Linked DNA regions of Oryzias latipes. The protein of the gene in region 2 purifies or fractionates together with the protein of the main gene of each other region. This does not show direct contact. Links are inferred from orthologs where the notes say so. Each region holds a gene or a part of one and is shown on either strand. Other genes may lie near its edges.

Region 1 (4,331 bases), on a different chromosome or scaffold from region 2:
CATCCATTGATAAACATTCATCAAATCCTTTACACTCAAAATCCTGCCGACTATGCGGACAAAGCAGCATCTACACCTGCTGTCAAGCAGCTACCTGGACAGATGAGCGTGTTGGTTCTGATCCAGGCTTTACCTGTAGTTGATGTACAAAGCCCACGTTGGGGTTGATGCAGAACCTCCTCTCTTGGACATGGGTGAATGCATCCCTGCAGACAGTTGCAACCACAGCCACTGAGACATAAATTACAAACTAAAACCTTATTTCCTCCACAGGGTAAAAGGAGTCCTCTTAAAAAAAAAAAGTAATAATAAATAAGCATCTTGTTTGTGCGGTTTTATGTTCATCTGTGGACATCTGATAAAGTAAAGCCATAATGTTTGTTCAAGTACCATTTTGTCCAGACCTCCCAGGAGATTTCAGATTAGAATTCACCAATACGGATTGGAGAATGCATTTCTGACAGAGTTTGGTTTATCAAAGTGTCAGCTGACGGGACTGATACCGTGAACAGAAACCGCTCTGTGTGTTTATTCAAATGCAGCACAGTTACATTCTAACTGATTGTAAATAGAATCAACTGTCGATCCATTAAAGCAGGTTTCTGGTTTGGGTGAGGACCTTCTACAGGGAACTTGAAATACCTTTAACAAACTAGCATCAAACTAACATTAACGAAGATTTTCCCAGCAAATGATTATACTTTAAATAGATGCATCCGCATTTAGAGGTTTTGATTTATTGGATGTTATGGCTAAAGCATACTAGTACTTTGAATCTGCAGAACAGAATATGGCCTTTTGATGAATGAGGTCAAACAAAAGACAAATACACTTACCTGTATTTTATCCCGAATGTTTCCATAAGGTATGCAATCACTAAGGCAGCACTGGAAATAAAGAGAGATAAAACAGGCAAACTGAACAGATTCTTTAAACCGACAGACTTCAAATGCATGTAGCCTTGTTTTAGCTTTAAAAGCAACACTGAAACAAAACACCAAAATCAATTGGATTTCAGGCTGGTTTTTACATTTAATTTGATTACATTTGTCAAATTTCTAATCAAATATAGACATATTTTAGTTTATCCATAACCAGTACTTTAAACTTAACTAAATTGAAACTTTCATGAGTAAAAATTCTTTAGACACCAACAAACAGTTTAAATCGAAATCAAAAACTGATTTAGCATTTTCAAGGAAAGATTGAAAGAGAAGCAACATATTCTGATGGTGGTAAGTTTATGATAAAGCAGTCAACAACAAATCAGCAAGTTGAACACAAAACTTATGAAGGATTGGAGACTTTTGGCACGATAAAAATCACCTGATCTGGTTTTTGCTCACATAAATGATCTGAATAGGTTTGGAGAAAAGTGATTTTGCAAATATCAACCCACTATAACTTTCCTTTGATGAGATAACACAGTTACTGAAAGTGTCACTGAGGTAATGTATCACAATTTAGTCTAGAAGTTGCTTCATCTAATTAAAAAAATGATATATATATATATATTCTAGTTTATATCAAGGTTGAATTGAAAAAGAATGCCGCAGAAAGTCTTACCTTCTTGATATCCCTGCATTACCATGAACAAGTACCTTTCCTAGAGGAGCAAAACCAAACAGTTGACTTAATGTTTAAAATTTACATGAATAGTTCAGACTAAATGATTCCTTACCTTCTGCTGCTAAGCAGCTGTCAATAAATTCTTTAGTCTAAAAAAAAAAAAAAAAAAATTGAACATCATAACAGCAAACTTTTAATGTCAAAACAATCAATAAGAAGAAAATGCGTCTTACCATAGGGAAATAGCGGATTATATTTTCCACTGGATTGTCAGCAATATCCAACACCAAATATCTAATAAAATAGACGCATTTCTATGTTTACCTATGAACTTCTATGACATTTAATTCCTATAAGGACAACGTAATGCAAGCGTGGTTACCTAAATGTGTGAGGGAAATTGGGTTTGATAAAATTGGCTTCGATATCTTGGCGGACACATACAATGTGGGTTATACCATGCGTCTCAAGAATTGGCAGCTGGAGAAACAGAAGCATAAGGTGGGAGATATCCAAATCATTGTTTAAAATAAATAAATAAAACACTTCTGTTTTCATGTTGAAAAACATGCAAAGTAGTGAATACCTTGCTTTTCATTGCAGCAGAGTAAGGCCCTAAAAACAGTCCTGGTAAAATCTCCTACAAAAACACAAAAAAGATGAAATATTTTCTCTTTTTCAATAGATGTTTAAACATATTTTCTATCAGGTGAATTGAACAAAGCTGAATTCTACAACTACAGCGCACACACCTGCATATCTCGTCTCATTGGGTAAGCCCAGTCCTGTAACAGGAAGAACATTTTGAAAAAGAAAAAAAAACCGAAACAAACTCAGCTGTATTTCTGTAAAACTAGGAGCAAACATGTTTAGTTTAGATTACTCTCTGTGCAAAGGTGGCTAATGCTAGCTAGGCTAATAATGCATCGGTCTTCGCTCGACGACACTTTTTTCAAATAACGTCTTTCAACGGCCAAACACTTTTAACATTTTAGAAGTTAATATTATAAATGTACAAAAAATTACAACAAATAAATAGCTAATAGATTTCCCCTTGAAAGAGCGGAGTTAGACAGGAGGAGGCGAAGAGTTACTACTGGCAGGTACTAGCTGACACGTCGTCAGGCGCTGCTCACCAGGTCTTCCTTTGTCGCCGGCAGAGACGGAAACTGGAGTTTGACTTCTCCGTCCATTGCGGTGTCTTCAGCCCGGTTTCACACGCACCCTAACGATAGTCTTCGCTGTTGGGTTAGCTGGAATATCGAAGTAGTTTGTTTTCAGAGTACACATGCATGTCCGCCATGCTTCCCTCTGACATGTGTGTCATGTGACTTTACAACTCGACGGGAAGAAAGCGCCCAGTACGGAAAGCCGAAAGGACCATTTGTTTGTTGTCTTTGCGGTTTCGCGCGTGCTTTTAGGTGGGACATAATTGGCCTCCACAGGGCACTTACCTTTTTCTATTGATTGAAATGTTGATAATTAACACGACCAGTATATTCAAACATGGTATGGTTGTGTTCTTACATCAAATTTAAAAACTCACTTTGCTGAAAGTATAGTTTTTTTTAAAGTCCTATTCCAATTACATTTTTATCTATTGTAAAATCGTATCCAGTGGTCTATTATTATTATTATTATTATTATTATTATTATTATTATTATTATTATTATTATTATTATTATTATTATTATTATTATTATTATTATTATTATTATTATTATTAATAATAATTTATTTATTTTTTAGCAAAAATCAAAATGCAGACATATTTTCTGCAGCGCAGCAATAGCTCATCAGAAATTCAATTCTGGGTTTGTGGGCGGGATTGTTGGCGCAGAAGTACCAGGACGTTGATATTCCAACACTCATTTGTTTACACTCTCTCCCGCAAGCTTATAGATCCTCAAAACGGTGAGCAACATCGTTGCTATCCACAAAGATATAAAAAGGCCCCATTCAGACACAGCCCTCGCAGCAGGAGTGAATCTCACTGTACCAAGAGAATCTCTGAATGATCTCACGAACCCACAAATGAAGACGTTCAATCCCGCCCACGTTGAACCAAGCCACATTCTGCACACAGCAGCCAGAGGTAGTTGCACAAGTCTGGGGCGACAAGCTTTTGAAAACATTTCTGGACAGTTGTGGAGCAGAGAATTTGCCGCGTGGCAAAGGAGAGGCGTTCATTGGAAATTCTAGGTGGAGTTCTTCTCTTGTGTTTACAGTGTGATCCACTGTGTTAACATTCTCTGTAATACTGAATTGGAAAACATGCAATGGACTGCTAAGCATTAGGATTTGCTAAACAAAACAAACGTTTCTATATTTATAAAAAGGTTAGACAATATGCTTTAATTTTGGGTTTAAATTTAAACTTTTAACTAGTCTCTATTGGTCCATTTGTGAGCTTGGGTTACATGCCAAAGTCAACCAGGTTTCCGAAAGATCAGATATTAGAATTGAGAAAAAAATGTTTGGTAGATCTGATGCTGGACAAGCTGGTTCTCACTGTACTACCAACTTGTTCCAGTTCTCTGGATTAACTTCCTGTGACAGCTCTGACATTTGCTTGTACGGAGGTAAACCAAAAACATTTTCCTACCTGAGCAACCTCATCCAGATCTGTACCCCTTCCTGTTCACTGCACCCTGCTTACAGAAGGCAACTGAGGTCCCTCCAAAACCTTTACTAATTTGAATATAAATTAAAAGCATAATGTTATTTTACACATACTTATATTTTTTGCCATGGTGTATTC
Region 2 (4,385 bases):
CTGCTTTCTACGTTTGTAACACGACCTAAGGATGCACCTTGAAATGACTCACTTATCAGTATTTCTTCTTTTTGAAAAAAAGAACCCATTGATTCACCTGAAAAAAGAAACTGCTTAAAGATAGAATGATACATCTTTTTGTGACAGTAAACTCTGTTTAAACCTTCAAAACATTCATGATTCAACACCTCTTCTTAATAACTGTCAGTCTAAGAGGCACATTTTTCAAAAAGGGGTGACAAAAGGTTTTTGATGTTTCCATCAGTGTGATGAATTAGCCTAATCCTGTGTCAGTGAACAATCTCAGTGTAATTCACCTTGATGAGTTTAAAAGTTAGCTTTCATCTTTTATCACAACACACCATGAAGCCTTAATTTTGGTTAATTGGAGAACGTCAATTCGGAAAGAATCTATTTAAACATCTATTTTAAAAAATGCAACACTTATTTACATGTTTTTTTACCCAGAGTTCCAAAAAATATGAAATAATTATTTCTAATTTGGATAAGGCTTAAAAGAGCTTTACACAATGAACTCCATTTAACCTGTAAGTAAATCTTTTTTTTTTTGCCCTCTTTTTGGATGGACAGGGGGGTGCACTCCCCCCTTCGATGCGCCTTTGTGAACTCACCAACATCAAAGTGGAATTCCATTTTATTCAATTCACACAGACAGTGGGGCTTTAACCATGATGATTTTCAGATTATTGGGTGCCGATTGCTGTTTGTACTAAACTACAACAGTCTCCCAAAGATTTACATGGACTTGTTGTCAGAACAGAGCATTAGTTGAGACCTCTATCAGTCTGCGTTTATTTGAACAGAGCAGTTGGTAAAAACCAGACTACAAGAAGGCAGCATGACGGCCAATGAGCGCCTAAGGCTTGGAAAAGGATCATTCGTGTCTTGTGTCTTGTTGTCATCGTTGTTATCCATCTCTGAATGTTCCTCTCCATCTTGCTGTTCTTCGTTGCTCCTTTCCTCCTCTTCTGCCGGTGGACTCTGCCGAGGCTGGAAGACAACATCTTCAAACTGGAGCTGGCGGAGTCCGCGGAGCATCCTGCAGCTGCGCACGATCTGCAGCTCACCGAGCGTGCAGGCCCACAAGCACAGGCGCTTCAAATCTTTCAAGCGGCTGGCACAGAGCAAACCCGGCCCTACCTCTTTACCACCGAGACTCAGCTCCTCTAATCCAAGCCATCCCGCGCCCAGCCCAAGGGAGGCCATCTGCAACTGGTAGCCTTGCCTTGCTGTAATACCTAACTCCAAAAACTTGAGCTTGGACAGGCCCTCCATACCTGAAAGGCCATCTTTTGCTGCACAGCTTCTAAGCCCATTTGCTGTTATACGAAATGTGTCGCGAAGTTCTAAACGACAAAGCCTCTCCCATGATGTCAGACTCTGCAGGTGCTGATCTGTGAAAGAGGGCACATTGTTAAGAACTAGACTCTCAATACTAATGCCTAAAGGCGAGGCCTGCCCTTTGACTTTTGGATTTTTTCCTTGCTGTGAACCACCAGCGCTGGAAGTAGCCACTGCTCTGTCCTGAGGAAAAGCAGGTGAGGAACTCTTGGCCTGACAAAAAAAGCCCTGAGGGAGCTCACAACCACGGAGCTCCAGCACACGTAGAGAAGGAGGCAAGAGGTGGCAGTTGGGTAAGGTTCTCAAGTCTGCATGTAGAAGGCATAGCTTACTCAAGCGAGGGCATTTAGTGGACAAAGCTTTGAGCCAGGACTCTGAGAGAAAGGTTCCACCCCGGGCAGAAAGCAGCAAGCCACGCAGGCGAAGGCACCTCAGTCCACAACCAAAGTACTGACGCAGCAAGACCCAAAGGATGCGAGATGTCACCTGATGTAAGAAAAAAGAAGAGACCATGTGACAATAACGAGGAGAAAACTGATTAAATAAATAATGAGATATAAGCTCAAACACATGCACATCAGAAACCTAAAAGGAGGCCTATTTTTTTTTTGGGACTTACTTTCCTAACAAAGGACAATTAACAACATTTTAAATAACGTGTCCAATTATAGTAGAAATAATAATACAAGAAAAAAAGTGCACCTTTGTCACTGTTTTTAGTGAAGGTTTAAAAAAATTGGACATAAACTAACAAAAGAAAGCCTTAGCACGGTTGTTTCAAACATCACATATTTTTTATCCATGTTTATTACTGTGTCCATTCGATTACAGAAGAATTAATATTAATACTTAATATTCAGGAACTGAAACCACAGTCCTACCCCTTTCCAAGCAGTCAGATCTACTGTTCTCCACAGTCTTTGGTCTTTAACCAGCCGTTTCCATCTCTTACAAACCCTGGAGAAAATGTGGAAACCATTAGAAACTCGCCAGACAGAAGTCTCAACAACAACAACAAAGGGAGATCATCCAGCTGGCTCTGTCTGTCTGTGCATGCTGCTGCATTGTATAGAAAGAACAGGGAACCAAAAATCCAACACATTCAGCAGGGCCACATTTTCATACCTTCCAGCTCGAACAAGCTCTCTGACGCTCAAAAACGACAACACGTCTATCAAGATGTTTTCGGGGAAGTAATCCAAATCGCAGCCTTTGAATTCATCCATTCTGTAAACAAAACCTTCCACACGGACTAATTTCCGGATGCACACGGGTTGCGCTCTAATCAGTAATCCCCAGGAAACAGCTTCTGGTTAGCAACAGTTCAGTTCATTTAACAGTTCAAAGCAACGGGCCTGGGTTTCTCTGAACATACTCAGTCTACGTCTAAGTAGTTATTTAAATTTTAAAAATGTTTATGACATCAGCTCTGCCGCGCGCCTTATTGATAAATGTTCAGAAAATATGTGATGTTGCCACCTATCGTTCGCTAGGTCAACAGTCCACTGCGCACGCGCAGTCTACCGGACAAGATGGCGACCAGCAATGGTGGAGGAATGGAGGTAGACGGGGCAGGCAAGTGTTTGTCTTAAATCAGACCGTTGGAGCCCGACGTTAACATGTACGCGCGCACCAAGGGCCCCGCGTGTTTTGTGTCTCTGCTGGTTTGTGAGCCGGAAAGATTTGGCGGCGCTAAAGCTTCTGGCTACAAAAGCTTTGCTAACATGATAAGCAGGTTAACGGTCAGTCAGTGATGAATCATTCTGGATTTACTGTCGCTTTCTCTGATCTAACTCAGTAATGCGCAGCTGAGTTTATAAATACAGTCACTTAACAATGTACCCATCCTTAAAATGCTATATAATCTAAATCCAGATTAACCGAGCGCTGTTTAAAGAAGGAAAACAACTTGATAGTTTCCCAAATGCTACTGTATTCATTCATCTAGAGTAGGGGGCTGAGACCTTTAACGGGAAACGAGCCACTTGGTCCAGATTCTTACAGATCAAAACCCAACGAGAGCCACAAAGTCTGGCCTAAACATTTAGAAAAATACACTTTTTGTTTGTTTACTTCAGTGGCTTTTTATTCATTATTGTAACAGGTAGCTTTCTTTTACATGTCGACAATAATAGAATCACAAAGGTGTTATATTTTACTAAAAAAGAGCAAGTTTAACTTCTTTACTTCAGACAGCAGCACATACACGTTCCTTTCAAAATAAAATGCACCCTAAGTCAAAAGATCCTCCTGCTTCAACAGATTTAATTTTAGGTGAGCATTCATCCTTTTACTATCAACATAAAGATGTGTGCATTGGTTTAAAATCCAAATAAAAATAAAAATCTATACATGTAAATGCAATTATATATTTTAAGAACTTTGACTCAAAGCAACAACTTGACAGTAGACTATAAGAATATTTGCTTAGTTAAACTAATTAAGTATTTGTTCAATTTTTTTGAATGTCTTTATAGCCGCATGTGGCTCTGGAGCCTCAGGTTGCAGACCCCTGCAACCTCAGATACATCAGACCGAAGCCATTTTATTCAGTCTGTGACATCTACAGGATGAAAAAGTGCTCAACCTGCTTAAGATGAGCATCTTTGTGTAAAATAAAACATGAGCAGCTGCTGATGTGTTGGACATTGTCATACATCCGATGAATTTTTTCCTTTATCAATTGATTAACTACAAAAATGACAGATAAAACTAAAAGGTAAACAGCTTAGGTTTAAAGATCAATCTTCAGGCCTGTATGAATATGTTTAGGCAGGTGTTATCCTCTCTTGAATTGTTTTAGGATTATTTTTTATTTGTAAATGTCTCATCAACACGACAGCCAATTATTTGATATGTCATACTATATCTTATTGTGAAAAATCTACGTTGTGTTCCTTGTGTCTTGTATTTCCTGTTTTGTTGAAGTTGTTGCTGTTTGTGTGTCTGCAGCCACCCCCAGTGTCATGGCCTCGGGGGTCACTGGGAGTGTTTCTGTGGCCTTACACCCTCTGGTCATCCTC

What was found.
Region 1: the proteins of fbxl12 (region 2) and styx purify together in Homo sapiens (affinity purification with mass spectrometry; 4 studies listed by BioGRID and IntAct, with this or other methods). This does not show direct contact. The link is inferred for Oryzias latipes from reciprocal best matches to the Homo sapiens genes FBXL12 and STYX.

Annotation. Positions count from the first base shown.
Region 1 is NC_019861.2:26,241,808-26,246,138, reverse strand, and holds the start of styx (serine/threonine/tyrosine-interacting protein), read right to left. Parts: upstream 2,936-4,331; 5' UTR 2,763-2,935; coding exon 2,706-2,762; intron 2,355-2,705; coding exon 2,322-2,354; intron 2,210-2,321; coding exon 2,156-2,209; intron 2,050-2,155; coding exon 1,952-2,049; intron 1,864-1,951; coding exon 1,803-1,863; intron 1,719-1,802; coding exon 1,682-1,718; intron 1,607-1,681; coding exon 1,567-1,606; intron 888-1,566; coding exon 837-887; intron 207-836; coding exon 134-206; intron 1-133. UniProt on the Homo sapiens protein: Catalytically inactive phosphatase. Acts as a nuclear anchor for MAPK1/MAPK3 (ERK1/ERK2). Modulates cell-fate decisions and cell migration by spatiotemporal regulation of MAPK1/MAPK3 (ERK1/ERK2).
Region 2 is NC_019868.2:6,646,249-6,650,633, reverse strand, and holds the start of fbxl12 (F-box/LRR-repeat protein 12), read right to left. Parts: upstream 2,850-4,385; 5' UTR 2,589-2,849; coding exon 2,488-2,588; intron 2,320-2,487; coding exon 2,244-2,319; intron 1,849-2,243; coding exon 802-1,848; 3' UTR 1-801. Other genes in the region: cops6 (COP9 signalosome complex subunit 6), read left to right, coding at 2,895-2,937, 4,315-4,385. UniProt on the Homo sapiens protein: Substrate-recognition component of the SCF (SKP1-CUL1-F-box protein)-type E3 ubiquitin ligase complex.